Linked DNA regions of Oryctolagus cuniculus. The protein of the gene in region 1 purifies or fractionates together with the protein of each later gene. This does not show direct contact. Links are inferred from orthologs where the notes say so. Each region holds a gene or a part of one and is shown on either strand. Other genes may lie near its edges.

Evidence for each region.
Region 2: the proteins of ARHGEF2 (region 1) and MARK2 purify together in Homo sapiens (affinity purification with western blotting; 3 studies listed by BioGRID and IntAct, with this or other methods). This does not show direct contact. The link is inferred for Oryctolagus cuniculus from reciprocal best matches to the Homo sapiens genes ARHGEF2 and MARK2.

What each region holds. Positions count from the first base shown.
Region 1 is NC_091438.1:42,685,442-42,701,339, reverse strand, and holds the start of ARHGEF2 (rho guanine nucleotide exchange factor 2), read right to left. Parts: upstream 13,061-15,898; 5' UTR 12,921-13,060; intron 5,590-12,920; exon of another isoform or gene 5,502-5,589; intron 4,885-5,501; exon of another isoform or gene 4,765-4,884; 5' UTR 4,744-4,764; coding exon 4,472-4,743; intron 3,774-4,471; exon of another isoform or gene 3,645-3,773; intron 3,129-3,644; coding exon 3,011-3,128; intron 1-3,010. UniProt on the Homo sapiens protein: Activates Rho-GTPases by promoting the exchange of GDP for GTP.
Region 2 is NC_091432.1:7,298,238-7,314,035, reverse strand, and holds part of MARK2 (serine/threonine-protein kinase MARK2), read left to right. Parts: intron 1-3,112; coding exon 3,113-3,292; intron 3,293-3,498; coding exon 3,499-3,552; intron 3,553-5,916; coding exon 5,917-5,965; intron 5,966-6,245; coding exon 6,246-6,311; intron 6,312-6,396; coding exon 6,397-6,467; intron 6,468-6,651; coding exon 6,652-6,708; intron 6,709-7,616; coding exon 7,617-7,853; intron 7,854-8,227; coding exon 8,228-8,347; intron 8,348-8,449; coding exon 8,450-8,549; intron 8,550-8,624; coding exon 8,625-8,737; intron 8,738-9,628; coding exon 9,629-9,761; intron 9,762-10,019; coding exon 10,020-10,198; intron 10,199-10,793; coding exon 10,794-10,891; intron 10,892-11,679; coding exon 11,680-11,841; intron 11,842-12,428; coding exon 12,429-12,686; intron 12,687-13,616; coding exon 13,617-13,643; intron 13,644-15,507; coding exon 15,508-15,552; intron 15,553-15,798. UniProt on the Homo sapiens protein: Serine/threonine-protein kinase. Involved in cell polarity and microtubule dynamics regulation. Phosphorylates CRTC2/TORC2, DCX, HDAC7, KIF13B, MAP2, MAP4 and RAB11FIP2. Phosphorylates the microtubule-associated protein MAPT/TAU.

The DNA.
Region 1 (15,898 bases):
AAGGGAGGGAGAGTCAGAGACAGAGAGCTATCTTCCAGTCCTGGCACCTCTACTTTTGATCGGCTCCCTACTAAAGCGTCTGGAAAGATAGGGGAAAATAGTACAAATACTTGGGCCCCTGCCACCCATTTGGGAGACCCAGAGCTACTGGTTCCTGTCTTTGGCCTGGTCCATCCCTGGCTGTTGCAGCCATCTGGGCAAGGAACCAGCAGATGGAAGAACTCTCTCTCTGTCTCTCTCCCCTCTCTCCATTTCTTTCTGTTGTCCTGCCTTTCAAATAAATAAATAAATAAATAAACCTTTTAAAAATTAAATTAATAAGTCACATCATGAGTTCTGAAATAAAAGAACATACGAATAATAGTAAAAAAGAGAAGAAAACAAAGACCCTAAAAACCTGATGAAAAGTGGGCAAAAGACATGAACAGAAATTTCACAGCCCAGGAAGCACAAATGGCCAATACACCTATGAAAAGATGCTCAATTGTGCTTGTAATGAGGATAATTCAAATTAAGGGCACAATGAGTTTTATAACCAGTCTCCTGGCAAACTGCAGAAGTCCCAGGATGCTAGCTGCTCAAGAGGAGGAAGCGGGTGGGGACCCCGCTCTCCTGCGCTGAGAAACAAGTGGCCGATACCTTAGAATGATGTTTGCACATTTGCACAGTGCACAGATTCCCCTCGGGGTCATTCTGGCAGATGCGCCCTGAGAGATAGTGTGCAGGTGATTCACAGGGGCGCCTTTCAGAATAGCAGAGTGGAGACCTTCCAAGTATCCCCCACCAGCAGGATGGAATGCAAGTGAATGGAACATAGCCATTTGTCGCATTAAATTAAAAATCATGGCAGAAGAACATACAAGTTAGAGAAAATTTTGTAGAATGTGGCATCATCGTTTTAAAATTCAAAAACAAAAAATATAAGAGAGAGAGAGAGATTATTCGGGAGACATATTTGTGTTAAAACGGTTGCATGGTAAAATTCAAGACCACGGTGGATGCTGGTGGGCAGGAGTGGGAATAAGACAAGGGAGGAGTGGATAAATAAATGCAAATCTGTCCGTGGTGTCCAGCTGCCCGCCCTCTGTGCTAGCAGGCCCCGTGGGGTCTCTAAGATCCTCCTGTGTCCTCTGTGGTCCTTAGGGTTTTGGTTTGCAAGGCCCTGGGCATTCGTGTTAAGATATTATATGAAAAAGACAAGGGGCAAACACAGCCGATGATTAGCGACTCTTGCAAACGGGAGCGCACAGGTCCCATAGAAGAACAACAGAGACTTTTAAAATGAAGCACCCAAGCGGCCAAACAAAATGAAGTTTAGCGCCAGACGTGGCTCCGGACAGGTCACTCTATGGGGCCTGGTCCAGCGTCACGAGTCTCAGTTTTGTTGGCCTGTGGACCTTGCTGGAGTGCTTACTCACGCTTGCTACGAAAGCAAGAAGGAGAAAACAAAACAGGCGAGGAGATCAAGCAGAGGGCTCAGAGATTAGGGGGAGATAGGGCGAGAGTTCGTCACAGCGGTTGAGATGCCCGCATCCCATTGCAGGATGTCTGGGTTGGAGGCTCCGCTCTGCTTCTGACTCCAGCTTCCTGCTAACCGTGCACCTTCCAAGGCAGCAGGTGCTTAGGTCTCTGGGAGACCCAGACTGAGTTTCAGGCTCCATCTGGGGAGTGAACCCTTGGTTGGGAAATTCTCTCTCTCTCTCTCTCTCTCTCTCCTCTGAGTTTCAAATAAATAAATATATAAAAATTTAAAAAATAGGTGAGGAGAGTGATCAGAGCAGGGAGACTTAACAAGAGGGGGAAAGCTGGAGGGAAGAAAGGGAAGGAAGGAGAGGTGTCATCGCAGCGGGGTGGGGGGAGGCAGCCGCAGGTGCAGTGAGGCACAGCGAAGCCGGGAGAAGGGGGACCATTCGCTGGATTCACCAGCCTCCACGCCAGGCACTGCAACCCTTTCCTCATCTAACAATCACACTTTTGAAAGCTAGTTTGACCATTCTGATGTTCAGAAAGATGACATGAATCGCTCAGCTGATAAAAGAAGGATCTAGGGGTCAGCCTGACTCCAAAGTCCTGTTCTTTCTTCCACACTGCACTGGAATGGGGCCGGGGAAACTGCGGATTTGCGGAGGGAGAGGGCAGGCGGTGGGGGTGGGGTGGGGGGGTGAGGGTGGGGGTGGGGGGATGGGGGAGTGGTGGTAAGATGGGTTCTTGCCGCTTCCCTCCCAGGCTCTCCGCCCCCTCCTCAGCCTCTCTCTCCCAAGCCACAGGTGCCCCACCAGTGGGGCTGGGGTTGGACGCTCAGGCCAGCTACAGCATGGGCAGAGGGGAGGCAGCCCCCAGCCCCTGGGCTTGAGGCATCTCCCTGAGCTCAGGGGCCCTCAGCTAGCAGATCCCGTGGGGCGTCTCGGGTCACCATGTGCCCGCCGTGTCCTTGGATCCGGGTTGAGACCCTCACTCCCCGGTTCTGTTCCGGGAAGCCAGAGGCTGGGAAGTCTCTCTCCTTTCTCACGCAGCCCTCCTGTGGTCACTGTTAGAGGACTGCTGTCTTCACTTGATCTTAGCCAAAAGGTCGAGAAGCGATAAGGACTGCTGTCTTTTAGGGTGCCAGATGCCCAGTGTCACCCCACAAATGCTAAGTTCAGCTGGGAAGCGTGGGCCCCACAGAAAGAAGCAGTTATACCAACCAGGGGAACAGGGGCCTTTTAATGAGAGGAACAGAGGTACCCACATCCACATGGACACAGAATGTCTTAGAGAAAGGACAGAGGCTGGATACCAAGAGACAGGGACGGAGCTTACATTACAGACCGGGGCGCGGGGTGGGGAGGGTGGGCAGACAGAGGGGCATACAGGGCAGATTCAGAGCTGGTCAGATGGGGTCGGAGTGGCGCCTGGGCACACAGAGACCCCGCAGCTGGCAGAACAGAAGAGGCACAGAGCGGCGGGACAGGCGCGGGGCAGGAGAAGGGGAGTGAGGCGGTGGCCTCCGTGGGGATCTGTCTGTCCATACCGGGCGGGAGGGCTGGCCACCCTGGTGCTGCAGTCCCTGAAAGACGTCCAGATCCTCTTGGCTCTGCAGTAAGGGGGTCTCCTGGGGGCCTGGGCATCCCGACGCCTGCAGTCGCCTCCTGAAACACACATTGCCACCGCTGCCCTGTGTATCCAGCAGCCAGTGACGGGCACCAGGGAGGAACACCGCCTCGGCCCAGCCCTGCCGCTTGCCCCCAGCCCAGCCCTTCCTGTCGGCAGGCGAGGCACAGCCCAGACCCAAACTGGCGCCTGAGGCCTTGGCAAGAGCTGCAGAACTGGCTGCAGACAAGGGTGCCCCCTGCTGGTCAAATGACAGTACAGCAGTCCAGAAGAAAGCCGGTGTGGATGGGGAGGTGAGGGACAAGCTGTGTTTTCATTCCTTGCCTGGTTTCTGATGCTCACCTTTGCCCTACCCAGCTGAACAGTGCATTCAGAGCCCCTGTTGCCCTCTTCCCAAGGCTAGATGGATAGCACCTTAAAAACCCAAGGCTCAGCTGGCACCACATAAGGGGGTACCCAGGACATCTCTGCAGGCACTGTACCCTCTCCCCCCCATCCTCCTCCGTCACTCTGCAGCCAGCCCTGCCCAGGAGCTAGAAGCCTGGGCCACTCACCAGAGCTAAAGGCACTTGTTCCAGGGGACCCCGGTCAAGGTGGGAAAACAGGGCTCTTCCATGGCTAGCAGGCCTCTGTGGCGACCACTCACACCCAACGCTTCACACCGACCCCCGGATGTTGTTTCTGACTTCCTCTGTCTTTGGGGAAGTGGTCAGGGACTTTCCAGGGGGCGGGGGGAGAGATGGGCCCCTCTCCCCAAGTGTGCTGGCCTGCGCAGAGCTCTGTATCGGAAGAGCTGTCCTCCCCACCCCCCGGCTGCAGCACTGGAGGCTGCCTCAGCCTGGGACCCAGCACACTGGCAGGGATCTGACCGGGAACGAAGGGAGGGGCCAGGGTCACCGGGGAGACACCTGTCTGGAAGGCGGGGCTCAGCCTCCCCAAGGGCCTACAAGAGGCCTGGAAGGACACGGACTCCAGGTCTCCTCAACTAGTGTCATGCTTCAGAGATGGTTGTCTGGGGGCCCAGCATTGTGGCGCAGCAGGTGCAGATCCAGCTCCCAGCTAAGGTGCCTGGGAAAGCAGCGGAAGAGGCCCGAGTGCTTGGGCCCCTGCACCCATGTGGGAGACCCAGACAGAGTTCCAGGCTCCTGGCTTCAGCCCCGCCCTGCCCCAGCCATTGTGGCCATTTGGGGAGTTAACCAGTGCATAGAGGATCTCTCTCTCCCCTTTTTTCCCCCTCTCACTAACTCTATCTTTCAAACACATAAAATAGATCTTAAAAAGATGGTCGTCTCTCTAGGGAGATAGTTGGGGTGCCAAGGACACCGGAATATTACTTCCTAGGCTTGAGGGAAGGAGGGACAGAGGGGACCCTGCGGCTTACCTGCTCAGTGGGTCCTGGCCAGGCCCCCAGCTGTGCCTTTTGAAGGGGTCGTAGCCACGGCTATCGGCCCGGAAAGCCCCCGACCGCCGGAGGGGCACTTCATGGAAGACATTCCTCGTCTCCGGCTCCTTTCCTCCCTTGCCCTCTTCCTCTTCCTCCTCCTCTTCCTCCAGCTGCTCTCTGGATTCCACTGCGGACAGAGAGCGGCGAGTGTGGCCCTGGGGCCCCACGTCTCCATCTGCGAGGAACACTTCTGGGACGGCTCTGTTCATGGGAGGCACGCTCAGGCCGGCCTGTGCCGAGAACAAAGGTGATGGTGAGCAGAGTTCTGGAACGCTGGGCGCTCGGAACCAGCAGGATGTCACAGGCAGGCAGGCCCCGGAGCGCCTGCGTCACCCCTCACTTCACTGAGACACGGAATTGGAGCAGGGCTGGCTCAGGGCCAGAAAGATCTAGACCCTGGGTCTTCTGGCTCCCAGTCCAGGCTCCTTCCTAGATCAAACAGAACAAGCACCTTGGTGGCAAAAAGGCAAGCCAAGGGCAGCAGGTGTTGTTCCAGGCCTTAGTGAGTTCAGTCTAGGGTATGAGCACATGGGTGTGAACACACACACACATGCACACACTCATATGCATCCTTATGTGTGTACACAGGGAAAAGTGATGACCCGGCTGCAGCATGCCGAGTGCTGTGGAAGTCTCCACAGAGGGCTCTGGGCTGCCCACGGAGCCAGCAGAGACTGTGAAAGGAAGTGGAAAGAGGCAGGCAGTCTTGGAGAGCAGCCTGGAGGGCGCGGATTTGGCCAAGGGGAAGATTCTAGGCTGATTCGGGAGGAGGAAGGGAGAGGGTGTTATGATTTCTTCCTTGTAAGCTCTGGTCCTGTGGGAAGTCAGGAAAGCTGTGTGACATATGTCCATGTCACAGAGAGCAGGACTCCAAGCATCAGCCCCATCGCCCCACCCCCTCCCCGGGGGGCCCAGCCCTCACTGCCGCCAGCACTCCACTCCCGGTTTGGTTGGCATCGGGGCTCACCTCGGTGTATCTCAGCGTTAAGAACTCTCAGGGGCTGTTGAAGTTGCAAATGATAAGCCCACTCCAGCAAGCAGCAGCAAGAGCCAGGAGCACCTGGATGGTGCAAAGGCAGGAAGGGAAGTGGCATTTGCTGTGCGCCTCTGGGCACTGGCCCCCATCTACCCCCGGGGGCCGAGGCTCTCCAGCCCGGGGCTGCCGGGATGAGGGTACCAGGCTCCCTGTCTCCCCTACCACTCCCAGCTACTAAAGTGTAAGGAGTGCCCAGGAGGACCAGGAAGCTATGAATCAGTCTGCTCCTCCCAGGCTTTCCCCACGTCGGCCGGGAAGTGCAGGTTGTCAGAGACTTGTCCCTTCCACCTACTTTCCCCTCTCAGCGCACGCTGGCCCCTGGCCCCACCCCATCTGGAGCTGCTGGGAGAGAGTACTTGGGCATCCTCGGGCGACTGTGGGGAGGAAGGGAGAGAGGCGCTCAGGCCCCTGAGGATGGCACATGCCGCTGCCCTCGGGGTGGACCGGAGGTGACAAAAGGAGAGGCCTGGGAAACTGGCCCAGGCCCTGTGCCCACCCATGCCCATCTTCCTGGGAGCGGTGCAGAGGGAACCCCTTGGCCAGCCCCCAGGGGAGATCCTCTGGGAGGGGCAGGGGAGGGGAAGAGCAGGACCTGCAGATGCTCACTGGACACGACAGCGACCCAGGGGCACTGGCAGGGTGTCGCGTGCTCTGGTGTCCTGGGAGCACCGAGAAGCAGAAAGGCCCCTGCGGTGCTGCAGGATGGACTCGGGCACGCCGGGTGCTTCTCGGTGCCTCCTGCCCCTGCCTCAGGAAGAAGGGCGAGCGCCACCGCTGACCTGCACACCGTGCTGTCTCCTGCCCCTCTTCGGCCATCCAGCAGGACCAGCTGGAGTCTGGGCTCCTCTCTAAGGTCAGCCTTTTCCCTGCGTCACTGTCATCCCACTCACCGGCTCCACCCGCTGTAAAGACGACTCAGCGTCGTCCTGTTTTCTGACCTCTGTTCCACATGCAGTAATGCCAACACTTCACACTCTTTCCTTCAAAAGATAAGGCTTATGGGGCTGGTGCGGTGGTCCAGCACGGGTTAAGCCATTGCCTGTGATGCAGCATCCCAAATGGACACCAGTTCTAGTCCCGGCTGCTCTGCTTCCGATCCAGCTCCCTGCTAATGCGCCTGGGAAAGCAGCAGAGGATGGCCCAAGTACCTGGGCCCCTGCTACCCACATGGGAGACCTGAAAAAAACTCCTGGCTCCTGGCTTCAGGCTGGTCGAGCCCTGGCCATTGTGGCCATTTGGGGAGTGAACCAGCAGAAGGAAGATCTCTCTCTGTCTCTCCTTCTCTATCTGTAACTCTTTTTTTTTTTTTTAATTTCTTTTATTTTTTCCTCTTTTTTTGTTTTTGTTGTTTTCTCTCTGTAACTCTGTCATTCAAATAAATACATCTTTTTAAAAAAATAAATAAATAAAAAAAATTTTTTGACAGGCAGAGTGGACAGTGAGAGAGAGAGACAGAGAGAAAGGTCTTCCTTTGCCGTTGGTTCACCCTCCAATGGCCACCGCGGCCGGCGCGCTGCGGCCGGCGCACCGCGCTGATCCAATGGCAGGAGCCAGGAGCCAGGAGCCAGGTGCTTTTCCTGGTCTCCCATGGGGTGCAGGGCCCAAGCACCTGGGCCATCCTCCACTGCACTCCTGGGCCACAGCAGAGGGCTGGCCTGGAAGAGGGGCAACCGGGACAGAATCTGGCGCCCCAACCGGGACTAGAACCCAGTGTGCCGGCGCCACTAGGCGGAGGCCTAGTGAGCCACGGCGCTGGCCAATAAAAATGTTTTTAAAAAGTTCATGGAGGTGCTGGTGCTGTGGCACAATCCTCCGCCTGCGGCGCTGGCATCCCACATGGGCGCCGGTTCTAGCCCTGTCTGCTTCTCTTCCAATCCAGCTCTCTGCTGTGGTCTGGGATAGCAGTAGAAGATGGCCCAGGTCCTTGGGCCCCTGCACCCATGTGGGAGACCGGAAGAGGCTCCTGGCTCCTGGCTTCAGATCGGCATAGCTCCAGCAGTTGTGGCCATTTGGGGAGTGAACCAACGGAAGGAAGACCTTTCTCTCTGTCTCTCCCTCTCACTGTCTGTAACTCCACCTCTCAAATAAGTAAGTAAAATCTTTAAAATAAAAAGTTCATGGAAATGGAATTAAAAATAAGTTGGTGCATTTTGAAATGCATGCACTTTTTTAATAATATGAATTTTCCATGAATTTTTTGAAGGCCCTGCATGTAATGCCTATTTCTGCTTCTATCTGGGGCCCTTTTCTCTCTCTCGATGTGCCCACAATAACAATACTAATAGTGTTTGCTGAGCGCCAAGTGCAAGGCTACTTGCATTGCACACGTTATCAGTTATCAGCAAGTCCATCCACATCCTCACCAGGGAGGCGTTATCATTCCTGTGATTTCACAGGCAAAGCTGAGGCTTAAGAAGGTTGGGCAACATCCCAAGGTCACGTGGCTTTTGAAGGTGGCGGAGCTCGCAGATACGACGCGTTTCAAAGCCCTGCACCACCTTAAAGGAATTACAGTCTCCGAGTTTTGAACAATGGGTGTCTCCCGGTGTTAAAATCCTGTGTTGCTCTTTTTTTTTTTTTTTTTTTTTTTTGACAGGCAGAGTGGACAGTGAGAGAGAGAGACAGAGAGAAAGGTCTTCCTTTGCCGTTGGTTCACCCTCCAATGGCCGCCGCGGCTGGCGCACCGTGCTGATCTGATGGCAGGAGCCAGGAGCCAGGTGCTTTTCCTGGTCTCCCATGGGGTACAGGGCCCAAGCACTTGGGCCATCCTCCACTGCACTCCCTGGCCACAGCAGAGAGCTGGTCTGGAAGAGGGGCAACCAGGACAGAATCCGGCGCCCCGACCGGGACTAGAACCTGGTGTGCCGGCGCCACAAGGCGGAGGATTAGCCTAGTGAGCCGCGGCGCCGGCCTTTTTTTTTTTTTTTTTTTTTTTTTGACAGGCAGAGTGGACAGTGAGAGACAGAGAGAGAGAAAGGTCTTCCTTTTCCGTTGGTTCATCCCCCCAGTGGCTGCTGCAGCCGGCGCACCGCGCTGATCCGAAGCCAGGAGCCAGGTACTTCTCCTGGTCTCCCATGGGGTGCAGGGCCCAAGCACCTGGGCCATCCTCCACTGCACTCCCAGGCCATAGCAGAGAGCTGGCCTGGAAGAGGAGCGACCGGGACAGAATCCGGCACCCCGACCAGGGCTAGAACCCGGTGTGCCGGCGCCGCAAGGCGGAGGATTAGCCTAGTGAGCCGCTGCTCCAGCCTGTGTTGCTCTCCTAAGACTCAGTAGAAGGCCTAAGAAAGTACCGCTGACCAGTGCATTTGGCGAAGGTTAAGCTCTTGGAGGAGGGGACCCGAGACACTGCTGGTCTCGGTAACGGTGGGAAACCATGGGACACAGAGCAGGAAGACAAGTAAGGGACTTCCTAGAGCCCCTTCCCCACCCCCAGCCCCATCTCCAGGGAGCATCTGGTCCCACACCTATTTCGGAACCTCCTATCTCTCAGCAGCGGAAGCAGTGATGTGACATTAAATGTGATCTCATTCAGGAGCTAAATAAAGCTGCTTGTGAGACCCAGCCCGGGCCGCACCCTCGCAGGGTTTCCTGCGGCTTGGGAGCCAGGGGAAGATGGGAGGAAGGCAAGGGAGAGACTGGTGGGAGGGAAGGAGGGGGAGGCCGCTCCGTGGGGGCCCCAGCTGGGATGTCAGGAGATGGAGGAGGGAAGATCTCTGGCAGGGGGTTGAGGCCACCTTGTTAAATCTCATCTCTTTGTTGTTGTTGTTTTTAAAGATTGATTTGTTTGTTTGTTTGAAAGGCAGAGTTACAGAGAGAGGAGGGGAGAGAGAGAGAGAGAGAGAGAGAGAGAGAGAGAGAGATCCTCCATCTGCTGGTTCACTCCCCAAATGGCCACAACAGCGTGGGCTGAGCTAGGCCGAAGCCAGAAGCCAGGAGGCTCGTTTGAGTCTCCCACGTGGGTTCAGGGGCCCAAGCACTAGGCTCATCGTCTACTGCTTTCCCAGGCGCATTAGCAGGGAGCTGGATTGGACGTGGAGCAGCTGGGACTCAAATGGGCACCTATGTGGGATGCCGGCACTGCAGGCAGCAGCTTAACCTGCTGTGCCCCAGCACCGGCTCCTTATTTTGAGAGTGAGAATAAGTAACCCACAGGCCAAGACAGACACAACTGTGGTGGAGACCGGTCATCATGAGTGAGTACCCACAGCAAGAAGCAGCTGTCCTCTGTGGAGAGAAAGGAGGGGACAGAACAGTCTCTGGTAACTTAGAGCAGGGTTCACAGACGCTATGACCCGCGGGGCACATCTTTCCTGCCATCTCTTTTAACTGGTTGGGGAAAAAAAATCATACTTTACAACACAGAAAATTAGATGAGATCAAACTTTGTGTCTAGGGCCAGCGCTGCAGCGTGGTGGGTTAAGCCGCCGCCTGCAGTGCCGGCATTCTATATGGGCGCTGGTTCAAGTCCTGGCTGTTCCACTTCTGATCCAGCTCTCTGCTAATGTGCCTGGGAAAGCAGTGGAAGATAGCCCAAGTGCTCGAGCCTCTGGACCAATGTGGGAGACCCAGAAGAAGCTCCAGGCTCCTGGCCTTGGATTGATGCAACTCTGGCTATTGTGGCCTTTTGGGGAGGCAGCCAGCAGATAGAAGACCTCTCTCTCTCTCCCTCTCTCTGTCTATAACTCTGTTTCTCAAATAAATAAAATCTTTTTTAAAAAATTAAAAAACTTTGTGTCTATAAATAAAGGGTTTTTTTGGAACAAAGCCTTACTCATTCATTTACATATTGTCTTGGGCTGTTTTTGCCTTAGCAGCAAAGCTGGTAGTCGCGACAGGGACCGTATGGCCTGCAAAGCCCAAGATATTTATTATCTGGGTCTTTACCAAAAAAGTTGGCAGGCTCCTGGTCTAGAGCCACTGGGTCTCCAAATCTCAGTGGGGAGGAGAGAGACATCAAGCCTTGCGTTCCCAACAGAGCATTCTGCAGCCAGTGTCGGGGAGGCGGGCACACGGAAGCCCCAGCAGGAGTGGGCATGTGGCCTAGTGCTCAGGCTGTCCATAGCCCCTGTCAGAGTGCCAGCTCCGCTCCCGATCCCTGGCTCCCGCTTCTGCACGTCTTGGAAGGCGGCACACAATGGCTCAAGTGATTGAGTCCCTGCCACCCGCAGGAGACCTGGATTGAGTTCCTGGCTCCCAGCTTTGCCCTGGCCTAGCCCTGGCCATAGTGGACATCTGGTGAATAAACCAGAAGATGGAAACTCTCTGTGTGTCTCTCCTCTCCATCTCTCTCTGTGTAACTCTTTCAAATAAGTAAATCTTAAAAAAAAAAAAAAAGGAAGCAGCTTCCAAAAGAAATTAGATGGAGGTTCCAAAGAAGTTAAATTTGTCCATTCTACTCCCTCTGTTGTCTTAGAAATCTGAAGGAGGTATGGGGCAGGCAGGGCCCTCGGTTATGTTTGCTGCCAGCAACTACTGAGGCTAGGAACTGCAGATAGCAACCAAACAGCGGGCTGGCCCCGCGGCAACACTGCCGGCTCCTTAGCAGCCTGAGGGGCTTCCTGCAACTGTGTCTCGTGTCCACCCCGTGTCCCGTGTCCTGTGCTGGATCCTAAACCTCCTGAGGGTGGGCAACAATGGAGAAGACCCATAAGCCCTGGGCGGCAAGGCCGAGGCCAGCTGACGTGTGTGCTGGCTTCTCCTCCGGGGCTCCTGGCCCTGGTAGCACAGGGTCACAGGAAAGCCTTTGATGGTTCAACGTTTAACCTCCCGTAGCTTCTCCCCTGGGAAGTGAACCATTAATCCGAAGAGAGCTAACACTGAGCTTCTCTTGGCCTCAGCAAAGAAGGCCCTTGGGGGCCCCGTGCCTGCACGCTCCTGCTCACAGGACAGCTCCGTGCACGGCAGCAGCGCCTGAGCTTCTGCCACCTCCCGCCACCCCCACCCCCACCCCCACCCCCGCCAGCTGGAACGCCGGGGTCCTGGAACCCATTCTCTTCTCTGACATGCAGGTCTATGACAAGAAGGCAAAGGCTCCCCTCTGGGACCCATTCATTCAGCAAACATCACTTCAGCATCTCCCAAGTATGAGGCAGAAGAAAGAGGAACCAGAGGTTCTACATGCAAATCCAGGCAGGGGCCAGTGCAGGCGAAAGCCGCTTCCCACATCAGCTTCTGGGTTGAAAGCCATCCACCTGCTCCCAGGGCAGCTACCAAGTTTACTATCAGTTCTCAATTCTGGGTGTTCCACATGGGACAGGCAGTCAGCATCTCCAGCCCCCTAACCCAACCACACCCTGTCTAGGAAGTCAGCAATCAGGCATCTCAAACATCCACCCTAAATCACCCCCACCTCGATGATAAAATCAACCGGCCTCACACGTCAGCCAGGAATTTTTGTTGCCTTGGGCTTCCAAGTCTGATTACCTGCTTTTTGTTTTGTTTTGCTTTGTTTTGGTTATTAAACTAAACCCAGGGACTCTGTCCTGTTCCTTTCAGCAGGACCTGTAGCTGTCTGCCGATTGTACCGGGGCTCGGGACCAGCCTAGCCCGTACTACATGGGGGACAGGGAAGAAGGAGGGCCGGGCCAACCACTCCTCTCGAACCTCCTGCCGGTTTCTTGGCATGAGTTCTGGCTGCTGTGCCAGAGGGTGGGGCAAGAGGGCCTGAGGTTCAAGGGACACACCTGAGAAGACTTTGGCCACCTTAGCCCAAGCATTAACCTGTTAGCTCCCAGAAAATAGCAAGGCAGTGGGCGGAGCAGAGAACCCCCAGTCTGGTGGATGACAATCTGTAAGGCCCTAGCTCTCAGGTGTGAGCTGGTGGCTCTTTATATTCCCCAGTTAGCCCCCAGGGATCAAAGGAACCCACGACAGGATAAGAGGAAGGAAGCCCTGGGAGAATTAGGATGTCAGGCTTTCAAGATTCCAGAGACATCCTTAGTGTCTACACCTCCTGTGTGGGAAAACAAGACCAAAAAGAACATAATGGACTTTGCTATGCCATGAACTTGAATCTGAACCCCAGGCCTACAACTTTTAACTGACACAGTTAGTTATTTAACTTCTCTAAGCCATACATTTACTATAAGGATTCTGGTATGTCAACCCCATAGGATTATGAGGATAAAGAATGAATGTGTATAAAGGGTTTAGCATCATTTGCCAAACAAGCTGTGTTAATTAACCACTGGCCATGGCTGTGGTTCCCTATTTACACAGTGTGTACACACACACACACACACCCTAAGCAAACAAGGCAGCTGGGAGCAGCAGGCTGAGTGGAGAAGAGGGGCTCCTGAAGACACCTGCTCCCGGGGAAGACCCGGCACAGAGAGGAAGGCAACTCACCGGACCCGGGAGAAGTCCCGAAGATGGGGCACCTGTTCCTGCCCTCAGGTGGGGACCTCACTACAGGGACAAGTCCTGTTTCCAGTGGTCCCTTTAAGATTCCAGTCCAGCACCTTGATGGGGGGGCCTCTTTCTTGGTCCTGTGAAGGGAGCTGCTCATGGTCCAGGAGTTTGCATGGGAGACAGGGCACTCATTCCAGCGCAGACCAGTGGCCTCTTCAGCTCCGCTAGCCCTTCCCTTCCCCGCCCTACTTCAAACACCCTGGACAGTGCTGTGCACGGGCCTTTAACCCCTTCAGTGCCAGCGCTCCAGCCTCAGCAGGCCCCGAACAAAGGATGGCCACAGGCTCTGGGAGGCTCGTCCCAGGGAAACAGGTGCAGGAAGCCAAAGTGGGGTCATCCTGAGGGCAGGGAATGTGGGAAGCTGACATCCCAGGGCACTTGCCCCTTCCCTGCAGCAGGGACCAGGGAGAAGCTGGGGCGGGGAGGAGGCCTCTTGGGGAGAGTCCGGGGATGGAAGGCTAACCGGCCAGGTCCTCATGGGGTTAGCAAAGTCCTTTATCCGCTCTCAAATTCAGCTTCAAAGCTGCTTGTTGGTCCCTTTAAGAGGCAGGTTCCAGCAGGACAGGAGGAAAGATTTTTTTTTTTTTTGCGTGTGATGAAAGTTCAGGGAGGAGCCACTGAGGGCAGCTACAGCTGACCAGGCCTGGCCTCGCCTACAGGAACTGGAGTGACCAAGCAACTCCGCACGGCTTGTTGTGGATACAGTCGGTCGGCCTGCAGGGTATTTGACCAACTGCCTCCCCCCACTTCCCTGATAGCAGCTCCCCAGGGTGGGGGCGCTGACTCACCCTCCCTGCTCCCCCCAGGCAGAGGACAGCCAGCGGGGCGAGGTAACTGGTAACAGGAGCCCTCCTCTGCCGGCCAGTGATGTAGTGGAAGGTGCGCGCTGGAGCTGGCAGGTCCTGGCTGGCTCTGCCGACTCACGGGTTACGGGGCCTTGGAGGAGTTAGTCTCCTTCCCACCTCTGTTAGAGCCCGGGTCTCATGTAAGCTCATGTAGATGGTGGCGCAGGAATGCCAGCCCATGGTAGCCGGCATTGAATACACAGGCTGCAGCTTGTGGGGTTAGCTCGAAGAAACCATTCCGCCCTGTCCCTCGGCTCGGTTACACGAGATTAAACTAGGTGATCCTCGGTGGATCATTGCTCTCCAATTCGCATTCCAGGTGAGAGGAAGAGGGCAGCTGCCGCCAGGTGCGCGACCACCGTGTGTAGCCTTTCCTAGCTGGCCGGGCCCATGCTTCTCACTTCCTAAGAACACAGGGAGACGCCTGCCCACCCTGCTGGGGCGGGGCAAGTGGGGCAGGGCGGGGGCGGGGGCCGGGGGCCGGGGAGGGGGGGGACTCTGAAATCCTCCAGTGAAACAAGCTCACCACGGGCCAGGCTCTCCAAGTGGGAGTCATTTATCTGCGGTCCCAGCCCGTGCAACTGGTGGACTTGGGGCTGTACCTGGCCCTCCGGCCCCCATGGCCAGTGCCACCCTGAGCTGCTCTCTCATGAGTTTTAGCCTTGCTGAATTTCACTGACTTGCCCCCGGCTCCCTTTAGTGGAGTCCTGTTTACTTTCTTCAGGTGGAGTTCCAAAACCTAGTATGTAAAGGGATCAGAAACCAGGCACCAGGTTCCTCCTGGTACTGGGGGTGGTGGTGGTGGTGGTGGTAATGGGGTGTGCGTGTGTGTGTGCGTGTGCACCCACGTGTGTGAGCCGATTCCAGCTGAAGGGCTCAAGGGCTGGTCTCCAGGGTGTGGGAGGGCATCTGGCACCTGCTGGCAGCTGGGTTCCTATCTGTGTTGCCTTTCAGGGCGGAGTCTGTTTGGGCTTTGGGCCCTTAATCTCCGGAAAGGAAGCAGGCTCAGGCTGACGTTCCCTGTCCCCTCACAGATCTACACACAAGCAGCGACCAGGGTCCCTGCCTCCCCAGGGGCCTTTCTACTTAGATGCGCAGGGAGACTGTGCCACTCCTCCTATTAAATTACAAGAAGTCAACAGGGTGCAATCCTGAAGCCAATGATTCCAGCGCAGCCTGTCTGTCTATAGATTTTAGAGGCTCTTATATTCTCCACCACCAGCACTTAAGGGGGGTTCGAATTCCACCCCGGCCTCCAAGGATGCCGATCAGAGAGATGAAGTAACTGGTTTTCTCTTGAACTGCCTCCACAATGCTGCTCTTCTCACTTGGGCTCCCCTCCTGGTATCCTTCCCCCTCAACAGGGGCCAGGATGCAGGGAGCGGAGTCCCGCAGAGAAGGGTGCAGTAAAGACCCCCCGGCCTCCGGGGGAGGAGCCCCTCCCAGGTTCAGACGGAGGAAGAAACCAGTCAGCTTCCAGAACTGGGACTTGGAGCCTGTTGTCCACGCCAGAACCCCCACTCCCTCGGGTTCACTGAGTCACATTTCCGGGGGAGCCTGCACGGATGCACCGTGGTGTGTTCCTGCCCCGAGACTAACATCCCACAGTCCGAGGCAAGGTGAACGGGTCCTACGGGCTTCTCTTCTCTTCCCTGCACCTGTTCTCCACCCGCTACCCTTCCGCCCCCACTCTCCTGGGCACATGCGCCTCCTCACCCTCTGACCTGGCCAGTCCCGAGGCGTCCAAGCTGCAGCCCCTGGAAGAGGGATGTGAGTTGGCGGAGGGCGACTCCATCGGGAGCCTCCCGTTGTCTCCATGTCCTTTTCATCGTCTCGGGGCCCAGAGGCTCCCGCTGCTGGGCTAAGGAAAGGTTAAACCGGTTGGGCAGGGGAGCTGGGGGAGCAGAGTCTGAACTGGGAAACCCGGTGGCAGGAACAAAGCGGGCATTTGTTGGGTCTCCCTCCCGCCGGGAGGCTGTGGCCGGACCACGGCATTCCTGGGTCGGACAGGGCCGGCTCACAGCGGCTTCTCCCCACTGCTGCTGCAGCAAAAGCCTCTGTCTTTCTAGG
Region 2 (15,798 bases), on another chromosome or scaffold:
CCTGCTATGTGGGCCCAGGCTGCTCTTTAGATTTTTAAATTTATTTATTTTCATTTTATTTGAAAGGCAGAAGGACAAAGACACCGAAAGAGATCTTCCAACTACTGATTCACTCCCCAAATGCCCACAACAGCCAGAGCTGGGCCAGACCAACCCAAGAGCTCAGTCTGGGTCTCCCATTGTGGGCAGCAGAGACTGAAATGACTTGAGCGTGCTACCTCCCAGGATGTGTGTTATCAGGAAGCTGGGTCAAAGCTGGAGTCCGCAGCGGGCTAACCCACCGCCTGTGGCACCAGCACCCATGTGAGCGCTGATCGGTTCCCAGCAGCTCCACGTCCAATTCAGCTCCTGCCGATGTGTCCGGGAAAGCAGGGGAGGAGGACCCAAGTGCTTTGGTCCCTGTACCCACATGGGAAACCCAGAAGCTCCTGGCTCCTGGCTTTGCTCTGGCCCAACTCTGGCTGTTGCTGCCGTCTGGGGAGTGAACCAGCGGTTAGAAGATCGATCAATGGATCTATCTCTGTGTGTGTCTCTCTGACTCTGCTCTTCAAGTAAAGTAAATAAATCTTTAACAAAATGAAGTCGAGGGGGGCCTGGCCTTATGGTGCAACAGGTTAAGCTGCCACTTGAAGCACCAGTATCCCACATGGGAGTGGTTCTGACCACTATTCCCTTTCAGTCCAGCTCCCTGCTCATGCACTTGCAAATGTAGTGGGTGGTGACCCAAGTACTTTTAGATTCCTGTCACCCATGTGGGATACCCGGAAGTCACCATACTAAGAAAGAAATGGAGTGACAACTTGAACCTCATCATGCCTACATGTCCCAAGCAGCAGCTTAGCCACTGCCCCAAACACCTGCGCCTCAGGGTGCCCTTTAGGAGGTACCAGCAGGAACCAGGAATGCCCTTCTTTCCATGGAGTATGGACCCTTGAGATCCTTTGGGAGGGCAGGAGCAGGCATTTTAAGCTGTTTGTCTAACACACACTGTTGGGGGAGCAGCCAGGCTTAGGCGAGCTACAGGGAGTGTGGGGAAGAGGGCAGTGTGGACAGACAGCAGCAAGGGGACTCTGAGGAGGTGCAGAGGCGTGGAGGAGTGAGGGCTTGGCGGAAGAGACAGCTGGAGCCCCAAGGAAGTTAGGAGAGACTGTTCTGGGATGTCAGGAGCCTCCCCATCAGTCAGCCAGCTGCGGGGGTCACTTGTCCAGCAGTGGGCTTCTGGAGTCTGGGTCAGTCAGCTGACCGAGAAGTTGCCCACAGCCGTTGTGCCGAGGCCCCACGTGGGCACGGTGCAGAAGGGGAAGTTAGAGCAGTGTGCTCACGTGCTGTTTCTGTCGTTTGCAAAGCGTCTAGTTGGGCAAGCGAGCTTTTTGCCAAGGAACCCTGGACAGTTCCCTAGCAAGTCCGTCTTTTCTCCTGGCTTTTGAGGGCTTCGCTTATAGCCAGCAGGGATGACGAAAGGAGCTTTGACTCACACCCCTCTGGTCACACCGCAACCATCCAGACTGTCTCCCTAAACTTTCAGGGCAGCTCTGGATGGCCTGGGGCAAGGCTCTGGCAACAGGTTTGTCCCAGTGTGGCAAGCGACAGCGGCAGTGGCAAGGTGTTCTTCGAAAGAGGAAAACTGGATCTCGGGACAGGAGTTAGAGCAGACCCTCCTTTAGCACTGTATTGATACAATCCACGTAGCACCCAGTCCACCCATTCAGAGTGGACGTGGCGCTCACTTCGACAGCACACAGACTAAGATTGGAATGATGCTGGAAGATACGCATGGTCCCGTGCAAGTGACACACAGATGCATAAAAACGTTCCACGTTCTTAAGTAAATACATAAAAGTAGATTTGTTCTCTTGTAAAGAAACAAGCTGTGCAGTTGAGTGGCTTTTATTAAATTCATAGAGTTGTATAATCATCACTGTGCAACTTTAAAACATTCCCGTTACCCCAGAAAGAAACCCCACACCCCTTAGTTGTCACCGTCAGGTCTTCCTTACCCTTCTCTTCCCTGGACAGCCGCTGGTCTCCTCCCTGCCTGTAGATCTGCCTGTCCCAGACACTTCACGTCAAAGGAATCCTGCAGCATGTGTGGTCCCCGGTGGCCAGCCCAGAGCCTGCCCTGTCCTGGCACGTGGCCTTCACCGCCTTCACTGCCTCGGCTGCCGTGCCCTGTGTGTTTCTCCATTCGCTGGCTGATGGGCGTCTGGGTGCTGTGCACGGGACGTTGACACAGGCCGCTGTGTGACCGTGCTTGCAGCTCCTCTGCCGTCCACCTAGCAGTGGAATTGCTGCATCGTACAGTCACCCTGCCATGGGCACCATACAGAGTCTGTACAGCGCCTCAGACACACAGGTTCTTGTAAAAACGGATTTTAGGAAACAACTGTGCATGGATTTCAGTTTAGGGTGGTTTTGTTTTGTTTTGTTGTTTTGTTGTGGTATTTTTGCCAAGATAAACCTCCTCTTAATTCTCCTTTTCCATAAGCGTTTTGAAGTGTGGTTATAGTGTATTCCTGGACCACGTCCTTTTTTATGCTGTCTTGTACCTGTTCAGTGCCTGCTGTGATTTCTGCTTCCTCGCAGCCTTACTTGGGCTGTGGAGCATCCAAGGAGAGCAGAGCCGGGCAGACCACTGCCTTGACCAGCCAGTCGGGGCGTGGGTGGTCCATGGATGAGGGGCACAGGACGGCCCTCGTGGGCTGCCATGCTCCTTAGGAGACGTGACAAACACCTGTCAGGTGATGAACAGCAGACTGGTGTGACGGGCTGGGTGGCAGGAGGGCCCTGAGGCAGTTCTGGTCATGTCACGCCGGCAGCTTTACTGCAGGTGGCCGAGGAGCTGCTGGGCTATTGGCATCCACAGGGCATCCGTGGATCCAGGATGACACGCTCTGGGCCTCAGTTCTTGCACCACCGGCTCTCTGGAGAGAACACTGGCTGTCTTCTCGTCCCCTTCTGTCTTTTCCGCTGCCTCGTGATCCTTCACGTGCCTCCCAGCCCCTTGGAGTCTGCCCTAGCACCCTGGCCTCTTGCACTGTTCGCAGAGTGCTGAAGGCGAGGCGTGAGGGGCCTGGGGGGGCGGCGAGTACAGGAGTGTCTGTTTCCCCTGCAGCCCACCCTGGGACACCTGGATTCCAAGCCCAGCAGTAAGTCCAACATGCTGCGCGGCCGCAACTCGGCCCCCTCCGCTGACGAGCAGCCGCACATCGGCAACTACCGGCTCCTCAAGACCATCGGCAAGGGCAACTTCGCCAAGGTGAAGCTGGCCCGGCACATCCTGACTGGGAAGGAGGTGAGCGCTGAGGCGGGGACGTGGCGCGCCAGCAGGTCGTGGCGGGGCCAGGGCTGCAGCCACCTTTCAGGCCCACAAGGGCGCTAAAAGCGGTGAGATCAACAGGCACATAGAGGAGGAAGTAGCTTCGGGTCCTGGCTTTCACCTGCTCAAAGAGGTCATCTTGGTGTCTGTGTCTGTGCTTTTGTTTCTTGTCTAATGCTCAGGTAGCTGTGAAGATCATCGACAAGACTCAGCTGAACTCCTCCAGCCTCCAGAAAGTAAGCACCGGGCGGCCGCTGGCCCCTGGCAGACCTCCCTTCAGGGCTGGTGGCGTCCCCGTTCCATTTGGGCCTTCTCCTGACTCTCGAATTTGTTGTACCGTATGCTTGTCCACGCTTTTTCAAACTATATTTTAGAGCCCCTAGTGAAGACCTCTGGCTCCTCTTCTTCCCCAGCCTCTGCTCCCCCGGCTCTCCCACCTTGAGGCCTTGATTGGATCCCCCGGGGCGGCCCCTCCTGGGTGGGCGTCCTGGCCACAGACACTGACTCCGCAGGTTTTTCTGCTCCTTTTCAGCCACATGGCCCAGCTGTCTGACCTCCTGCCTGCATCTGGCTACCTTCTGGTCTGTGCCCAGCCCTACGCAAAAATACGTGTTTGCAGCCATTACTACAAATACATGCAGCTGCTCCAAGACCCGGAATGATTCCGGGGAGTGGCCCTAAAAGTGCAGGGAAGAGAAGAGGAAGCAGGGACCTGCCCCGACTCCTGTGCCAGCCACATTGTAGCCTAGAGTTGAGACGCTGAACTCTAATTTCCAGATTAAAGACAGGTCCTCCCAGTTTTCCTTTTTTACTTCCAGGCTCCTCGTGGCCAGAGGTCAGAATCATTTGCGTGTAGTTTTTGCTAGATGAGGATGAACTTCCCTTTCCTTTCCTTTCTTGTTGAACAGCCGGAAAGTGAGGTCCTACCTAGCTGGGGGGAGACCCCCAGCTGGGAACACAGCCCTCTGCCGGTGAAGTTGCAGCCTGGGAGGAGAGGGAAAGGAAAGGGAGACTTTGATTTGCAGAAGGGAGGTAGCCGGGCACTGACCGGGTGGTTGTGGAGCTGGAAGCTCTCTGTCCCGGGCCCCGGCTGCGGGGGACGGAGGCAGCTCCTGTGTGGCTTCAAAAGCCTACCCCACTCGGGGGCACTCACATTTCCCTGGTGCCTTCGTGGCCCGCTGACCCTGGCTTTCAGCCTCTGACCAAGACCCAGCTCTCGTCAGCGCGTGGCCAGTGCATTTTTCTTTGGGAGTCGAGGGGCGGAGGGCAAGGCTGTGAGCTGACAGATAGGTGATGCCAGGAGTTTGGGGCTGGAGCTGCCACTTGTTAATGAGGGAGGTGCTTATGAAATGAGAGTGGAGGGACAACCAGAGGCAAGGGGGTCCCTGTCTTTGTCGTCCCTGGGGCCCCTCAAGGTTTCCTGGATCCAGGGGAACCGCTGCTGTCATCACCAAGGCTTGCTTCCCTGCCTGGAGCTTTCCAGGAGGAAGGGGAAGAGGGCTGCCCTGAAAGTCTGGCTCTGACCCCACAGAAGTCCGGGCCCCCTGGGGTGGGCCGCCGGCTCCGTGGAGCTGCCTAGCGCGGCACGGCAGTGGTCGCCAGCCCTGCCTCCTTTGCTGCTTCCTTCTTGCTGACTGGCCAGAGGCACCAGCATCGGATACATACAACCCGCGCTGAACCAAGGCCATCCAACTCCGGCCAAAGCACTGTTTAACTCTCGCCCCGGCGAGGATCTCTAAAAGGTGTCTCTGAGGAAGTTAGCCCCTCTGGGTTCTAGAGGAACCCAGAAAACCCAGGGTCTCCCAGGCAATGCCCCCTGCAAGCCAAGGGGGCGCCCTGCAGCTCCTCTGGCCCGATTCGGTGCTGCGCCCTCACATGGTGTGCAGGACCTTCTGCCTCTTCATCCAGAGTAGCTGTGGAGCCGGGAAGGAAGCTGGAACCCAGGCTCCAGCGGGGGCTCCGGCAGGTGCGGCTGCTGGGCATAGGAACGCTGCTGCTGCCCTTCGTCCAGCTTACACGAGCTCCTGGACACCCTGAGGGGGAAACGTGGGTCCGCCCTTCCAGACGCTGTATCCCTCCCTTCTGCTGTTAGTGTGGGTGCGAGGCCTGGGAGTCACAGAAACCTCACCTTTCAGGTCTCTGGCCCCCGCCAAGGGAAAGGACTCATTTCTGTCATCTTTCTTCATGGAAATGTGTGGTTGGGAGCCCCTGATTTCTGTTTCACAAAGACAGCGTGAGTGTGTGGAGGTGGATTTGATTAAAATTGGCATCAGCTATATATAGGAGTGGCTCCTTCCTCACGGGCCCAGGAGAGAAAGGCCCAGTCCTTAGTACAGAGCGCTGTGCCTTGTGTGCATCATACAACGAGGGAAAACAAAAAACCATGATGGGGTCCCCTTTGGAACCCCCCACCCCAGACCAGGCTGGAGGCGCACGTTTCACCCCTGAGCTGGGCGGGCCCGCGCTCTGCCAGGCGCCAGCCTGCTTCCTTTCCTGTTTCCCCTTCTGCCCTCTTCCCTGCCTGCTTTGGTTCTGGGAAAGCAGCCTGGCAGGGCCCTGTGCAGCGGGGCAAGCCTGACCCCTGGTGTCTTGCTTTCCAGCTGTTCCGCGAAGTGAGAATTATGAAGGTTTTGAATCATCCCAACATAGGTGAGAACCAGCCGCACCTCCTCCTCCGGCCAGGCCCCACTTCCTCCCGGCGCGCGGGGCCCTCTGGAGTCCTGAGTTGCCAGGGATGCTTCCGGGGGAGCTCAGCTCGGAGGCAGCTGCATCTCTGGCCGACACTGAGCTGAGCTGAGTAGTTTGGCAGGGGTGAGAGGAGGTGGTCCTGGGGAGGGGGCCTCCGCCCCTCGGATGCCCTGTACGCCTCAGAGCTCAACACGGGCTCCTGCTGCTGCTCTGATGCAGCGCCTGGCCTTTTCTTTTGCAGTTAAATTATTTGAAGTGATTGAGACGGAGAAAACCCTCTATCTCGTCATGGAGTATGCTAGTGGCGGTAGGTGTGGAGCTGCGTCTTCCTGGTGGGTGCCCTCTCCCCCAGCCTTCCCAGCCCTGACCCGTCCCCACCCCGTCTCTCCCAGGAGAGGTGTTTGATTACCTGGTAGCTCACGGCCGGATGAAAGAAAAAGAGGCTCGAGCCAAGTTCCGCCAGGTGGGTGCGCCTCCCTCCGTGCTGTCACTGCCCCACCTCCCCTGCCCTCGGCATGGGGGGGGGGGCGGCTCCTGCTGGGCGCTTCGGTGTCGCGGTCTTCGCTCCATCGGGCCCCAGGCTGGGCGCTTCGGTGTCGCGGTCTTTGCTCCATCGGGCACCAGGCTGACCTTCTTCCTCCTTCCAGATAGTGTCTGCTGTGCAGTACTGTCACCAGAAGTTCATTGTCCACAGAGACCTGAAGGTGAGGTGCACGCTGCTTCCTGTGCCTCTGAGTGCAGGCTGGCTTGTCAGTAATGCTCAGGGCCCGAGAGTTGACGGGAACCCCCGCCAGTTATTCACACACACACACACACACAAATTTGTTTATTTGAAGGCAGGCTCCCATCACCGTTGTTCACTCCCCAAATGCCACAAGGCCAGGCTTGGGCCAAGCCAAAGCTGGGAGTTAACGTGTTCCAGGCTTCTCACTTGAGTGGCAGGGCCCAGGTACGGGAGCCATCGACTGCTGCCTCCCAGAGTGCGCGTTAACGAAAAGCTGGCATCAGGAACCAGAGCCAGGACTCAAAGCCAGGTGCTCGGACATGGGGTGGTGTCGGTGCCTCACCTGGCTGTAACAGTCAGACCAGTTGAGCAGGAAGTCCCTAGGAGTGCTTCTGATAGGAGCCTCGCAGCTGGGCTGGGGCTCCCACTCCAGTTGGCAGTGCAGGGCATGGCAGGGCCACCCAGGTTCTCCTGGTCTCCCGGCATCCTCGGGGCTGGCGAAGGGGAAGATGTAGCGTGTCCGTAGGTGCATCTCCTGCAGGCCCGCACATCCTCCTCTGTGGCTGAGGGCTTCCAGTTTGAGGCCGCCTGTGTTTCGTGACTGCCCCGCCCTTGCAGACATGACGTGGTTAACCTGGGCCTGGCGCAGAGGCTTCGCACACTGCTCAGGGCCCTGAGCCTGCAGATCCCAGCTCTGCTGCGGCTGCCTGAGTGAGGAGTGGCCTGCACGCCTTCCTCCTGCCCAGCCTGTTCTCGCTCATGGGAGCCCTGCCTGGAGTGGGCAGAGAGAAGATAACTTGCCGGTCATTTCCTTGTGTCCCTCAGCTCCTCCCTACGCAGCGCCTCAGTGTGGTGCACCCCCCTGATGTTCTCCCTCTTACCTCCCAGGCAGAAAACCTACTCTTGGATGCTGATATGAATATCAAGATTGCAGACTTTGGCTTTAGCAACGAGTTCACTTTTGGGAACAAGCTGGACACTTTCTGTGGCAGTCCCCCTTACGCTGCCCCAGAACTCTTCCAGGGCAAAAAATACGACGGACCCGAGGTGGACGTATGGAGCCTGGGGGTCATCCTGTACACACTGGTCAGCGGGTCCCTGCCTTTTGACGGACAGAACCTCAAGGTGGAGTGCAGTGCGAGCTTAGCACATGCTCACTACTTCGCATTTCCTCTTGGCCTCTGGTCTTCCCCGGACCCCTCACCTGTGCCTGTGTACATTTTTCCGAAGCCAGAGCTTCTGAGAAGGGTTTACTAAGGTGGTAGCAGTTACGGGCGCCTGACAGTTCCTTCCCGAGGGAAAGGGTACATTGCCTGGCGTTCCCTGGCCATGCCAGAGCGTCTTTGGCTCCTCTGCCTCTCTGTGCCAGCCTCTCTGCCTTCTACCAGCTTTTGTTGCTGGCAGCATGGCCAGTGTCACGCTCCCAGGGTCCTGGGTGGTGGGTTTCTTCCCTTGGCCTTGAGATGGGTGAACTTTGCTAATCCTGGGTGCTCCTACAGGAGCTGCGGGAGCGGGTGCTGAGAGGAAAATACCGAATTCCGTTCTACATGTCCACGGACTGTGAAAACCTGCTGAAGAAATTTCTCATTCTTAATCCCAGCAAGAGAGGCACTTTAGAGGTGAGCAGCCCGGAGGCCACTGGCTGGAGGTCCCGGGGTTCCCAGGGGAACCCCCAAGCTGAGTGTCCTCCCCCTGCCCTTTCTCCCTCCCTTTGCTCCCAGCAAATCATGAAAGACCGTTGGATGAACGTGGGTCACGAGGACGACGAGCTGAAGCCTTACGTGGAGCCCCTTCCTGACTACAAGGACCCCCGGCGGACAGGTGAGGCCGTGCTGGGCCGCGAGGCTGCGGCTACCGGGGGTCAGGAGCAGCCTTAACTGTGTGTCCCCCGTGCAGAGTTGATGGTGTCCATGGGCTACACACGGGAAGAGATCCAGGACTCGCTGGTGGGCCAGAAGTACAACGAGGTGATGGCCACCTACCTGCTCCTGGGCTACAAGAGCTCTGAGGTTAGTGCTCCCCGCCCTCTCCCTGACCCTGACCCGGCATCGGTAGCACCCCATGCTCTTAGCACCGGTCGGGAAGATGCGCCTCTCCAGTAGGTGTGCTCTCTGCTGGCCACCTCTAAGCGTCAGCTTTGCTGTCTGAGGCCCTCTGGCCTCTCACTGATCTCCTTCAGGGCTGGGTAAGAGCTGGTGGGCTTGGGGTTGGGCCCAGTCTGGGCTCCATGTGGGTGAGTTGATTCGCGTGGGCCAGACCCTCTGATTGGCAGTTCTGTGTCAGTCCGGGTGTCTGTGATTCTGTCTGTCGGATGGGTGCTGCTCTGGGTTTGGGGAGGTTTCTGTGTCTAACAGGACGCTGAAGCCTGTGTGTTGCTTCTGCCTGTGACTGTGTCTGGCTGTGTCTTGTCTGTCTGTGTGTTCGTCCTGTCTGCAGGTCTGGCAGCTCTGTGATTGTTCTTCTGCCCCTTTGGGCTTGGTCCAGCATCCATGTGTCCCCACCCTGCTGGTGGCCATGGTGGCCCCCGCTCTCGGTTCAGGCCCACATCGCTGTGTGTGGGCAAGGGGCAGCTCTGGGTCTGACGTGTGTTCTCCTGGGTGTTAGTGTCTCCCAGGGTTTGGGCATGTGTGTCTCTGTCAAGGATGGGAGTCTTTCTGGGTGCTGTCCTTGGCTGTGTCTGTCTGTTGTCAGGTTCTGTGCCAGGGCACAGGTGTCTCTGGGATGGAGGAGGTATGGGTAGGTACTGGTTGGTCTTGTGAGTGACGTCCCATGGGAGCCTGGGCTGTGTGTGTGTGTGTGTGTGTGTGCTGGACTAGGGTGGGACGTGAACATGAGTCCACCCAGGAAGATCACCACAAGCCCTCTGCCCACCCTTGAAGCCATGTTCTCTGTGCTTGCAGCTGGAAGGTGACACCATCACCTTGAAGCCCCGGCCTTCGGCTGATCTGACCAATAGCAGTGCCCCCTCCCCCTCCCACAAGGTACAGCGCAGTGTCTCGGCCAACCCCAAGCAGCGGCGCTTCAGTGACCAGGGTAAGCACCTTGGGGCTGGTAAGTAGGACTCGCCCTCTGCAGCAAAGGCTGTACTCCCGCAGGTTTAGAGGCACACGGCTGAGCCTCTGTACCAGCTTAGCCACTTGGGAGCACGGCTGTGGGCAAGTCCCTCAGCCTTCCTCAGCCCCTGTGAAGTGGGGAGGCAGAGCTGCCCGCAGGCACAGGGGAGCCCTGCAAGCGGACCGGCACTCCGCACTCCGCCTCACCCACCCACCCCCGGTCCCTCTGGTCCTGCAGCTGGTCCTGCCATTCCCACCTCCAATTCCTACTCCAAGAAGACTCAGAGCAACAATGCCGAGAATAAGAGGCCTGAGGAAGACCGGGAGCCAGGGCGGAAGGCCAGCAGCACAGCCAAAGTGCCTGCCAGCCCCCTGCCCGGCCTGGAGAGGAAGAAGACCACCCCCACCCCCTCCACGGTGAGCCACGCCCATCAGCCCCAGGCCCCCCTTCCTGTCCTCCCCACTGCCTCCCCTCCCCAAGCAGCTCTTTTCTTTATTTGTTTTTGGTTTTTTGTTTGTTTGTTTGTTTTTAAAGATTTATTTATTTGAAAGGCAGAGTGGCAGAGAGAGAGGGAGAGACGGAGATTTTTCATCTGCTGGTTCACTCCCCAAATGGCTGCAACGGCTGGGGCTGGGCCAGGCCAAAGCCAGGAGCCTGGAACTGCATCCAGGTTTCCCACGTGGGTGGCGGGGGCCTCAGTACGTGAGCCATCCTTTGCTGCTTTCCCCAGCGGACCAGCAAGGAGCTGGACCGGGACTTGAACTGGCACTCCAATATGGGATGCCGGTGCCACAGACTGCGGCTTAATGTACCGTGCCACAGTCCTCACCCCTAGCAGCTCTTGAATCCAAGACCTCATCCCTTTGGTGGCCACTTTTGCTCACTGTAGAAAGCGCAGCCCCAAGAGGGGAGCAGAGTCCCATCTGACCGTGGCGCCTGCCAGAGGCGAAGGTGGCGGGGAGCCCTGCATGAGCCTGACTGTAGAGCAGCTCTTCCCTTCGTTCCCCACAGAACAGCGTCCTCTCCGCCAGCACAAATCGAAGCAGGAACTCCCCGCTTTTGGAGAGGGCTAGCCTCGGCCAGGCCTCCATCCAGAACGGCAAAGACAGGTGAGCTGCCTGGGCCTGCCCGCCACGCTCCTCGGCAGCCCCTCTCCGGCGGTGAAGTTTGTCAGCAGCGTCGTCTCCGCCCCCGCCCGAGCGTTGCCCCCGCTCCCTGGAGTCCTGTCCTGGCTCTGTTCCGTCTGGCTGTCCACCTTCCCTGCCCTGCTCCACGCCATCTCCTCCCCTTCCTCCTCCGACCGCTCCTCGTAGTTTACCGAGTGGGGGCTCCCAGTGGTCATCTCCACAGTCTTTGTGCTTCTTGACGGCAGCCGGGGCGTGGCTGCTGCCCACTCCATGCGTCAGCGCCTGAGGCTTTGTCTTTGGGGCTCCAGACCAGGGCAGAACCAAGAGACAGCCCATCTCAGGGGTGTACCCGTTGAGGGTGGCTGCAGCGTGCCCCTGACCTTGACCGTGTGCATTTCTTGTGTGCTGGGCGCCCCCTCTTCTGCGCCTGTTGACAGTTCTTAGCAACACTGCACTCCTCCTGTAGAAGAGACACCTGGACCTTAGACTCCCTAGGAGACCAAGGCAGCCGGAGGCAGTGCTTCCTGTCACCTCTCCTTCCAGTTCCTCTTCCCAGGCTCTGGCCTCCCTCGCCGCTTCCTCCCCTTCCCTCCACGCCCCACCTGCACGATCCTCAAATCTGACTGACGCCCCTTCACTGCTCCCCGGGCCTGACCCGTACCCCACTGCCATCCCCAGCTCTGGCCCTTCCCTGCCCTTGCTTCCTAATCCGGGCGTTCAGCCCTCGCCCACCCCCTAACCCAGGCCTCTTCGCTGCTTTTGTCTCCTAGCCTAACCATGCCAGGGTCCCGGGCCTCCACGGCTTCTGCTTCTGCCGCAGTCTCTGCGGCCCGGCCCCGCCAGCACCAGAAATCCATGTCGGCCTCCGTGCACCCCAACAAGGCCTCTGGGCTGCCCCCCACGGAGAGTAACTGTGAGGTGCCGCGGCCCAGGCAAGTGTGCTGGGGCAGCTGGTGCACCTGCTGCCCTCCCCCTGCCCCCAGCAACTTCCTTCCGGGGGGGCCTGCTCTCTTCTTGTCCTCTTAGCCACAGGGCCCGGCTCTGGCCCCCGCAGCCAGGAAGTGGAAGGCACAGAAAAGAGCATCCGTGTCCCTCTTGCGCGGGTCTCCCCTCAGCACAGTTGTGCGGGAAGCAGGCCTGCGGCTCCGAGGGAGGCTGCTTTGTTCTGAGCCTGCCTGGGCTTCCTCAGGGACCCGGGGATGGTCAGCATCCTGGGGGCGTCCTGAGGGTTGGTCCCCACTGTCCCCTTGAGAGTTGAGGGAGCCAGCTCTGCAGCCTGCGCTGCTCTGCACACACGGGTCATTCCCTGCCCCCCCCCCGCCCCCGTCCTTCGTCTTCCTCCTCCGGGAGCCTTCCTCCCTGCCGCCGTCCTCAGTGGTCACACCCTTCCTTCTGTGTCCTCCGTGATGGCTGCCTCTGCCGTAGCACCCCCGCCCCACCACGGGGCGCTGCAGGTGCCCAGTGGCGAACGGCTGTCCTGTGCCCTGATGTGTTCCCCTTACCCCGACTCTCCCCACAGCACAGCCCCCCAGCGTGTCCCTGTCGCCTCCCCCTCCGCCCACAACATCAGCAGCAGTGGTGGAGCCCCAGACCGAACGAATTTCCCCCGGGGTGTGTCCAGTCGAAGCACCTTCCATGCTGGGCAGCTCCGGCAAGTGCGGGACCAGCAGAATTTGCCCTACGGTGTGACCCCAGCTTCTCCCTCTGGCCACAGCCAGGGCCGGCGGGGGGCCTCTGGGAGCATCTTCAGCAAGTTCACCTCCAAGTTTGTACGCAGGTGAGCAGGGAGCGCAGGGTGGCAGAGAGGCTGAGGCCAGGCCTTCCTGTTTGCTCAGGGGTGGGGATGCCTAGAGCTGGGCTTGGGTCCTGGGGTTAAAAGAGGCCCCGTGAAGTCTAGGAAATGGGGTCGTTGTCAACGCCTTGTGTGCCCAGGCCCGTCCTCTTAGGTCTCTCCCCAACTCCCCATAGGCACCCCTCATTCTCTGGCCCCAGCAGATGGCCCATGCCGCCTCCTCTCCAGGAGAGTGTGAACTCAGATGCTAAAATAAAAGCCCCCTCTTCTCTCCTGGGTTCCCATGGAAACTTATATTTGGTGACGCAGCTGCAAAGTCATGAGGCCTAAGCCAGGCTGGGCCAGGGAGGAAATTTTTCCTGGTCTCTCATCTGGCCCCCTTTGACCCCCTCTCCCCGCCTCCACAATTGCTCGTGTCTGACTCCAGTCACTCCCCTCCACTGCAGCCAGTTCTTCAGGGGCTCCCGGGAGGGAGGCCCTAAATGAAACAGCCTGTGGGACCTGTGGGAGCCTCCCCGCCCCCAGCCCCAAAGCTGATGAGGCCTTCCTGTGTTGGGTCCCGGTGGGGGTCTCGTCAGGGAATGTCTCACATCGTGAGTCCCCAGTCACCAGAGGCACACCTTGAGGTGCGTCCAGCCAGCTGGCCTCCTGGGTGCCCCGTGTCCCCCCTGGACTGGCAGTTCTGGAAGGCCAGGGGCTGTGAGAGAGCAGGCTTGCCTGCCGCTCCTGCCTGCCTCGTGTCAGGGCGCAGACCTGGAAGTCTGGGACTCTAGTCTCGCTGAGCGGCTCTTCCAAAACTGGGGGCGACCTTTGAACCTGTAAAGCCCACTCCCCACCTGCTTATCCACACACCGTCTTGTTGGGTTTTTTTTATTTCTTTTTTTATTTTGTCTTTTTTTTGTTTGTTTTTTTTAGAAATCTGTCTTTCAGGTTTGCCAGAAGGTAGGCGTTGAGCCCGCTGTGTGTGTGTGTGTCCCGTGTCCTGCTCCATCACTAACTCCCCTTTTCTGGTTCTGGCTCGTGGCCATCTGCTAACGTGTCTGTGTGGTCCTCCTCTGCCATCTTAAAGGGACGAAGCCTGGTGTGGCCGCGGGTCAGCACCAAGCCTGCCCTCAGACAGTGGGCTCTGAGCACATGGCCCTCGGGGCGAATGGCTTTGAAAGGGAGGGCCCTTCCTCAGACACCGTGGTGCTGTCTTCAAGCCAGGGAGACCTCCTCGGGGATTCTCCCTTTAAGATTGTCTCCCCTCACCCCGCCCCCAGGTTTGGGTCACAGCACTGGGTTCCCCCTGGCCCTTCCCCTGCCATGTGCATGCGCTACGAGGAGGCTGCACCGGGTTACAAGTGCATCTGGGACGGTCTCTCGTTCGGGGTCTCCTGGGCTTCCTGAACTTGAGGGCTGTGTGGCTTCTTCCCCCTGGCCTCTGGGATGGAAAGGCTGGGGCGGGAGCGACTGCGGGTTCCCCAGCTTGGGTCTGACTCCTCCAGGCCTGCCCAGGGAGCCTTGACTTCACAAGTGGGGCACAGCACCCCCTTCTGGCAGCTCTGCAGAAGCAGCCCCCCCCCCAACCTGGCCGACACAGGGGCCGGCCGCAGCACCAGCACCGCGGTGACTGGAACCTCTCCTGCTGGCCGTTTTCCCTGGATGCGGCCTTCAGCTCTAGGGCAGGGGCCACTCCTCGCCTGGTCACGCCTGGTCACGGCAAGACGGGGAGAACGGCACCCTCACTGAGGCTCCGCCCTTCCTGGCCCTTCAGCCCGGCCTTCTCCTCATCCTCTCTGCAGGCCTGGGTGGGCCCAATGCCAAGTTGCAGGTGGAAGGTGGCTCGGGACCCTGGTTCCCCAGGTGTCAGCCTGGCCCCGCTCTGGGGCTGGGGCGCCCAGAAGGCACATGGGTGCCCCAGCTGGTGGAGAAACCAGACAGGATCTTCAGGCTTTCCCCACTCTCCGCTCCGTGCCCCCCAGCCCTCCACTGCATGGCTGGTGCTTGTGCCATGGGGCCACGATGGGGGCTTGCCCTGCTGGAGGCCCAGGGAGAGCTGCCAGGGCCCCTTCCCCTGCACCGCCGGGCTCCCCGCTCGCAGTGCACTTGTTGGCATCGTGTGTGTCTCTCGTGTTTCTGTGTCCCTTTTACATGTGCTGCTGCCGTCCTCTCCCCCTTCCGCATTCCCCGATTTCCCGGCTCCCAGCACCCATCTTGCAGTCAGGAGCTGGAGAAGCCGCTCAGCGGGGCCAGACCTCTCCCCCTGCCCCGTCCTCCTCCTGCAGGCAGGCGGCCCGGCCGCTGGGGAGTCACAGCCACGCGGCAGCCGGCACCCACCCCCAGGCCTCCTCCATACACCTCCAGGCCTTGGCACTGGAAGCCTCCTGAGAGGCTTCCATGTCCCCGAGACCCCCGCTCTCCCAGAGTTGGAAACGTTGCAGTCCAAGACCCCCGTGTGTTGGCACGAACGCTCACGTGAGCGCTGGCTGGGGCCAGTGGGGAGCCCGCCTCATGCTGCACCCAGCGCCTTTGCTCTGGGTGCCCCGTGGACCCCGCCCCAGCAGAGGCTCCTCCTCCCCAGCCCACTGCTCTGGAGTGTGGGAGGGGCAGGCTATGCTGGGCTCCCTCCTGGAAAGGGACTGTCAGGCTGCCAGTGGGAGGTGCTGCAGAGCCTTGTTGGCCCGCAGATGTGGCCAGGTGGCCTTTGGCTCAGGTCCTGCCCACCGGCGGGCAGCACCTTCCCAGACCCACCCTCACCTGGGTCTGTGGTGGTGGAAGGAGCGAGAGACCCAGCACTAAACTCTCCCTCGCTCTGTTTTTTGAGGAACCTGAATGAACCTGAAAGCAAAGACCGAGTGGAGACGCTCAGGTGAGAGGGCCGGAGCCAGCACTGGCCCTGCCCGGGCCACTGGGCTTGCCACAAGCCTCCTGTCCGTCTCTTCCTCTGCCACCCGGCTCTTCCTCCGGTGGCTCTGCCCTGTCTCCACCCTCTCCGGGCCTCCCTTTCCCGAGCCCCGCTACATTAGGTCTGGAAATTGGAGCCCTGGGGTGGGCCGTGGGGGCAGCAGATGAGTGCCCTCGGCGCCGCTGCTTCCGGGAGGCAGTGCCCAGCGCC